Linked DNA regions of Nothobranchius furzeri. The protein of the gene in region 1 purifies or fractionates together with the protein of each later gene. This does not show direct contact. Links are inferred from orthologs where the notes say so. Each region holds a gene or a part of one and is shown in the gene's direction. Other genes may lie near its edges.

The links. The genes of interacting proteins can lie anywhere in the genome.
Region 2: the proteins of wdr5 (region 1) and kat8 purify together in Homo sapiens (affinity purification with mass spectrometry; 5 studies listed by BioGRID and IntAct, with this or other methods). This does not show direct contact. The link is inferred for Nothobranchius furzeri from reciprocal best matches to the Homo sapiens genes WDR5 and KAT8.

The regions. Positions count from the first base shown.
Region 1 is NC_091746.1:41,699,725-41,703,837, forward strand, and holds the end of wdr5 (WD repeat-containing protein 5), read left to right. Parts: intron 1-184; coding exon 185-274; intron 275-350; coding exon 351-434; intron 435-521; coding exon 522-577; intron 578-1,391; coding exon 1,392-1,438; intron 1,439-1,532; coding exon 1,533-1,608; intron 1,609-1,737; coding exon 1,738-1,771; intron 1,772-2,363; coding exon 2,364-2,438; intron 2,439-2,511; coding exon 2,512-2,599; intron 2,600-2,671; coding exon 2,672-2,772; 3' UTR 2,773-3,482; downstream 3,483-4,113.
Region 2 is NC_091745.1:17,466,557-17,470,208, reverse strand, and holds part of kat8 (histone acetyltransferase KAT8), read left to right. Parts: intron 1-184; coding exon 185-274; intron 275-357; coding exon 358-498; intron 499-3,652.

The DNA.
Region 1 (4,113 bases):
CTTTCTCCTCTAACTTCTCTGTGCTGAAACAGGTGCACCGGAGCTTTTTTTCCCTCCGCACTACGACTTGCAAGGCATTCATTCCTATTAGGAGCTACTGCAAACGTATTAAACTTGAGTGAAGAACCTCTAGTGTGTTTGAATTTGAAATGTGCCACATGAACCGGTTTCTATGTGATTTCAGGGAAAGTGTTTAAAAACTCTGAAAGGTCACAGCAACTATGTCTTCTGCTGCAACTTCAACCCGCAGTCCAATCTCATCGTGTCAGGATCGGTGAGTACGCCGCCGACTGTGGAGCTCTGATTTTAAACCCAACAACGGTTCTTATTGATCTCTGCCCCGTTTGTAGTTTGACGAGAGCGTCAGGATATGGGATGTGAAAACTGGGAAGTGTTTGAAGACATTGCCGGCTCATTCTGATCCTGTCTCTGCTGTGAGTTTTATTTCTTTTTAAACTTGAAGTTTATCTCTTAAATGTGACAGGATTGTGTGAACAGCTGACGCGTGTTTGATGTTGCAGGTTCATTTCAACAGAGACGGTTCCCTGATCGTGTCCAGCAGCTACGACGGCCTCTGGTGAGTCCCTTCTGTTCCACCAGGATCTTAGTTCTGGTTCTCTGGCTGTGCTCGTCTAATGGGCTCGACACACGAGAGGCGACATCGCCTCTCCTCCATTCATTTTCAATGAGACATGCGTGACAAAGCGATAATCGCGGGTCTCTCTCCTACTAAGCGAAACGCGAAAAACGTGCGTGTGAAATCTTGCGCTCGTGCACGTGTCGTGCACGGACGACCCAGCGACGCAATCCCAGAAAGTTGAAACATTTTCAACTTTGCATCGCTGTCGCTCGGACGAGGACCAATCAACGGAGGTTTCATTCACTGACCAATGAGCGGACAGGATGCTCTGCACATCTCCGAGCAAACATGGAGGAGAAGTTGATTATTATTATGTTTTATAGTAAAATCAGAAGTAAGATTTCACATAACTCTAGCAGCACCTTGTGAAACATCATATCTACCGCTTTTTTAACTCTGAACCGCTTAAATAACCTTAATTCCCTCCAACCTGACACAGCCAAACAAAACAACGGAAGTTTCGATTTCGCCACGGAACAGAATGCGTAGACGGCTTTGCCGCTGGCCGCTGCCGCGGGTCGCCTCCCGTGTGACAGGTAATAAAAGCGACGGCGACAAATTTCGCTGTTCGCGGTCGTTTGTCGCCTCCCGTGTGTCGAGCCCATTACAGTTGGGTTTTCAAAATACAATCTGTCTAGGAATTAGTATTCTGTTCTGCTGCCCGATAGAACTTAACTGAGTTGCCTTTTTGACCCTACAGCAGGGTAATGGTTATTTATTCCTATTAAGTAACAGTTTTGTTTTTGTCCAGTCGGATCTGGGACACTGCATCCGGACAGTGTTTAAAAACTCTCATTGGTAAGTTTGAACCAATATCCCTTAAAATATCTTTTAAATTGTGACGTTATTGTTTAAACTCGTTTGTTTCTACTTGTTTGCTCTTTTATGTCAGATGATGACAACCCTCCAGTGTCGTTTGTGAAGTTTTCTCCCAACGGGAAATACATCCTGGCTGCCACACTGGATAAGTGAGTGCATGGCTTTACCCTGCAGGGGGCGGCACAGCGCCACGATGTCCGCTCTCTACAGAGAAACAAGCATTTCTTCTACTTTGGTTTTGTTACTGGAACCATTCAACACATTCTCTACTTTTTCAGCACGCTGAAGCTGTGGGATTACAGCAAAGGAAAGGTAAACAAAAATAAAGACATCCGTTACTCTTTATGTACAGGGATTTGTTTTGGCAGAAGTTTTTATAGCTATGCAAAAGAGAAGGCAACTTCTTCTGTTGTTACAGTTTTTAAGATTTCTCTCTGATGCTAATATAAAAAGGTAATATAAAAACTAGCCAGTTAACACAGTTTCAGCTGGTTTTACTGGTGTCCAGAAGAGAAAACGGTGTGAACTTGTTTGGTGGGTCAGTGATGAAACTGGTTCTGTTGGCAGATCTAAATATGTGTCCAAAAGGAAAAAAAGAGTCATCTAGAATGTTTTTAAAACCAAAAGTTGGCAATAGAACCAGCTGTTACAAAGAATAGCGTTTAAATGTCTGAAGGTAAAGCTTCTTCCTCTTGGAAATGCCTTTTTTACTTGTAATGATCACAATAACAGAGCTGAGCCAGATTCCTGCCTGCTTCTACAGTTTTCATAAGCTGATTGTTTCCAACCCTGTTACTTTTGAACCAGACATTTGCTTTGAACTAATAAATAAAAAATACATTTATTGATGGTGACATTTCAGAGAGTGTGAATTTGACTTTTAAAAAATGTTCCACCATTTCAGTGCTTGAAGACGTACACGGGCCATAAAAACGAGAAGTACTGCATATTCGCCAACTTCTCTGTCACCGGGGGAAAGGTATGACCTCTCAGTGCTGAAGGAGCTGCAGAGTGTAGCTGGGATCTGATGCTGGGCCTCTGCTCTTTTGCAGTGGATCGTGTCTGGCTCGGAGGACAACATGGTTTATATCTGGAACCTGCAGACGAAGGAGATTGTGCAGAAACTCCAGGGGCACACAGGTACAGCAGCTTTGTTTAAAAAGATCTGAAGTGAGGTGTGTGTGTGTAACACGTTCCTGTGTCTACATCCAGACGTCGTCATCTCGACTGCCTGCCACCCGACAGAGAACATCATTGCATCTGCAGCGTTAGAAAACGACAAAACCATCAAGCTATGGAAAAGCGACTGCTAAACGCCCTCCTTTTTTAGTTTTGGGGCTGTTCATCTTTATTATTTTTCCTACATTGTGCTGTTCAACATGAGGACCCTTTTCTAATGGATGCTGAGAGCTGATCAAATTCTGCAGGGAAAGGCAAACTCCTCTCAGCCCTACGTATCGTATCTGCAGCGAACGCGCCCCTCTGGTGCCGGATTCTCTGCGTCTCATTAGAGAAACACTGACTTATTTTAAAAGACGGTTCTGACGTTTCAGTATAATTCACACTGCATTTGCCTCTGCTTCACAACAGCTCTTGTACAATAAATGTAATGATTACTGGTCCTTCCAATGAGTTGTCTTCATTTGTGTGGAAAAACTACAGAAAAGCTGAAATTTGCATCAAATACCCTTTTTTATTTATATAAGTGGTACCAAAACGGGAAATCTAATTCAAATGTCATTGGATGTTGGCAGCAGATTGTTGAGTTTTTTTAAGCAAATTATAGTTCGATGAGGGAAATAAAGTTTTGTGTGAATTAAAGTAATGGTAACCTTTTTTTTAAAGTGTTTTCTTAGTTTAAACTGACTAAATCTGTATATATCACACTGGCATAAAGCTTGTTTTATTCCACCACACAGATTAGCTCGCAGCTGCGCTTGCTAATCCAGCAGCATCTTGCCTAGCTGAACCTGTGGATATTTGTTTTGCATCTGACCACTGCTAAATAAAATCCGGTTTTGTATGTTTCATGTGTTTTTACTTCACAATCAGCATCACTTCAAAGTTTAATCTTTTATTCAATAACATTTTTTCTGTCCATGGTAGAACATTAGAGCAACCCACAAACAACAGATGGCAAAACGTTTCATCTTGAAAATGAACAAAAAGAACTATAATGAGCAGAAACATTCCCGACTTGCAGCGACGGGATGAAAATGGCAAAGTAAAGGCGACAGTTACCAAAGTGCCAAAGCTGACCCCCCCATGAGACTCGAGTAAGCTTTTCCACAGCGAACATGACAAACCCACAGAAAGAAGGGAAAGAACAGAGTACATAAGCCGGGGCTAAAATTACCTTTGTACAAAAATAGATCTTTTTTCAACATTTTTTTTTCCAACTAGAACATTTTACTGTCAATGCAACAAAGAAAGCAGTGATTGTGTCACAAGTTCCGCTTTTTCCTGATTACACTTCTTTTCTATTCGAACACACATTTGCTAAGCAACATATACAGTTTTTTGGAGAGATTAAAGGTCTTTTTCTCCTAATTTTTCAAGGTCACAGAAAACGGCTGAGAAGCTGGTTGTTTTGAGCTGACGCACTTCTGCTGGTTTGATAAACAGTTCAAATCCCTCTGATGTCTAAGAAAACC
Region 2 (3,652 bases), on another chromosome or scaffold:
AAAGAAGTACAGACAAGTACGCATGATGAGACACAGCCATGGTCTCTTCTCACCACTCTGTTTTTTATTTTTTTAAACTTTGTTCTTTCTTAGTAAGAAACCATTTCACCAAAGTAAATGATGTATTTGATTTCCTTTTGCTGTAGTTTACTTCAGTATCAATAACAAACATTTTCCTCCTCAGTCTAACTGTCAGTGGAGACAGCCTCCAGGAAAAGAGATCTACCGGAGAAGTAACATCTCAGTCTTTGAGGTGGACGGGCGAGACCACAAGGTGAGGACACGCGCAGGTGGACGCAGCACGGGTCCTCCAGACGTCTCACAGGCTTAGCTGTAATACTTGTGTTCTGCTTTCAGATCTACTGTCAGAATCTCTGTCTGCTGGCCAAGCTGTTTCTGGACCATAAGACACTTTATTTTGACGTGGAGCCGTTCATCTTCTACATCCTCACAGAGGTCAACAAGCAGGGAGCGCACATAGTCGGATACTTCTCCAAAGTAAGTCTCACCATCAGCAGCTGTGTCTTTCTGTTGTTGTTCATTTATTTTAGCTGGTTTGAACGAGTAAGTTAACCAGATATGTAAATGGTACAGTAGTGCAATGGTATAGTAGTGCAAGTACTAAGGGTGCACTGATCTATCGGCCCCGATATAATTTTTTTCTTCATATTGGTGATGGGCTAAAAGCTGTAATCGGTGCACCCCTATAGTTAATGTAAAAGCAAATAATTGCTATAGAATATTTTTGTACAAGTCTATCAAAACAGGTACAAAAGGTTTGTCTTCAAAATTAGAAAAATGAATGTCTAAAGGAACAAATATGGTTTTGTAGTTCAAACGGCAACGCTACATATGTTCATTTAGATTTGAGAACATTGTTTCATGAGTGTTCATATTGGCTTTCTCAATAAAAGGAAATTGAAACATTCACATTATCTGCTTTTAGTTGAGACAAAATTGGTATCGGCAAATGCGGTTTTTCTCAACATCGGTGATCGGTCAGAAACCACAACCGGTGCGCCCCTAGCAATTACTAGTTTATTATATGTAATAAAGCAAATGTCACTGAATTTCTTCCAAACCAACCTTAATATGTTTTCATTAGCCGTCCTTGTATTATAGTTATCGTCCATGTATTTACCCCTAGTTATTTGTTTATTCTTTTATCTCCCTTTTTCATTTTCCTCTTATTTATTTAAACTGTTTCATTTTACATGTAAAAAAGTTAGAATAATAATTAATTCATTATTCATAAAACTGCCTGGTCAAAAGTCGCCCCCTAAAATATTGGACACTAATATTTAATTAACCCTGGAGAAGGTCCATACCTGCTGTAGTGTCACCAAACACACCGACCCGACTCCAGTTCATATTTAACTGCTTTTATTTTGTTTCAGTTCTTTTTCAGAAACAGTTCTAAATATTTTTGTTCCTTTTACACTCAACAAAAATATAAACGCAACACCTTTGTTTCTGCTCCCATTTTTCATGAGATGGACTTAAAGATCTAAAATTTATTCCAGACACGCAATATCACCATTTCTCTCAAACATTGTTCACAAATCAGTTTAAATGTGTGATAGTGAGCACTTCTGCTTTGCTGAGATAATCCATCCCACCTCACAGGCGTGCCACATCAAGATGCTGATTCGACATCATGAGTAGTGCACAGGCGTACCTTATACGCCCACAATAAAAGGCCACCCTGGAATGTGCAGTTTTGTCTCACAGCAAAATGCCACAAGCATTGAGGGAGCGTGCAATTGGCATGCTGACAGCAGGAATGTCAACCAGATCTGTTGCTCGTGCATTGAATGTTCATTTCTCCACCATAAGCCGTCTCCAAAGGCGTTTCAGAGAATATGGCAGTACATCCAACCAGCCTCACAACCGCAGACGATGTGTAACAACACCAGCCCAGGACCTCCACATCCAGCAGGTTCACCTCCAAGATCGTCTGAGACCAGCCACTCAGACAGCTGCTGAAACAATTGGTTTGCATAACCAAACAATTTCTGCACAAACTGTCAGAAACCGTCTCAGGGAAGCTCAACTGCATGCTCGTCGTCCTCATCGGGGTCCTGACCTGACTCCAGCTCGTTGCCGTAACAGACTTGAGTCGGCAAATGCTCACATTCAATGGCACGTTGGAGAGGTGTTCTCTTCACAGATGAATCTCGGTTTACATTGTCCAGGGCAGATGGCAGACAGCGTGTGTGGCATCGTATGGGTGAGCGCTTTGCTGATATCAGTGTTGTGGATTGAGTGGCCCATGGTGGTGGTGGGGTTATGGTATGGGCAGGCATCTGTTATGGACGAAGAACACAGGTGCATTTCATTGATGGCATTTTGAATGCACAGAGTTGCCGTGATGAGATCCTGAGGCCCATTGCTGTGCCGTACATCCATGAACATCACCTCATGTTTCAGCAAGATAATGCACGGCCCCATGTTGCAAGGATCTGTACACAATTCTTGCAAGCTGAAAATGTCCCAGTTCTTGCATGGCCAGCATACTCACCGGACATGTCACCCGTTGGGCATGTTTGAGATGTGCTTGACTGGCGTATACGACAACGTGTACCAGTTCCCACTAATATCCAACAACTTCGCACAGCCATTGAAGAGGAGTGGACCAACATTCCACAGGCCACAATTGACAATCTGATAAACTCTATGCGAAGAAGATGTGTTGCACTGCATGAGGGTAGCGATGGGTACTGAATTTGGTACTTTTTAAGGTACCGACCGAATTCCATAGTACCGACCGAGCACCGATTCACGTCATTTGAAACGGTGCCTCGTTTCGGTACCCGTCCTTCATAACGAGAACTTGCCTAGACAGCTGCGCAAGAGCGTTATGTCGTCGGTCGCTGCGAGCGAGTTGTAAACAGAGCAGCATGGTAGAAAGAATGCACGCTAAAGCTTGGGTCCACTTCACTAAATGTGATGGATAACTGGGTGATGATGAAACCATCAACAACGATCTAAGTGAGACATCCTCATTTTAATCTGCTCCGGTAGGTAAATAAAATGTTTAAGATAACGTTACCTTGATATGTTAGCTTCCGTTCCGCTAATGGTGTGTTCGCTTTCTCCTCGGAATTCCGAATCTCCGGCTAGAAGAACATGAACGCGCTCAAAAGTTTGGCTTCACTTTACTAAATGCGGCGGGTGATTGGGTGAAGATGAAACCAGTGACAACGATCTAAGTGTGAGGCATCATCGTTTAAATCTGCTCCAGCAGCTAAATAATCTGTTTAAGATAACGTTAGCTTGATATGTTAGCTTCCATTGCCACCATTGTTATCAGCTAATGGTGCGTTCGCTTTGTCCTTGGAAATTCTAACTTCCCAGTAGGAAAAATCAAATGAAAAAGGACGGCAAAAGGAATGAAGATACACAATAAATTTAGTTCACAGTAAAGATGTTTGCTTCAGTTTAATTATCAGCTTATAAAACTATAAGGACGATGTTAAAATACAAACAGTTGAATGATATTTATTGTGATATTTATCAAATATGGTTATAAATTGAGAAAAATATATATTTAATTATAAAAGAGAATTAAAATATTAAACACTCAAAAGTATCTAAAATTGGTACTGTTAAGTACCGGTATCGATTCCTAGGTACCGGGAATTAGTACTGA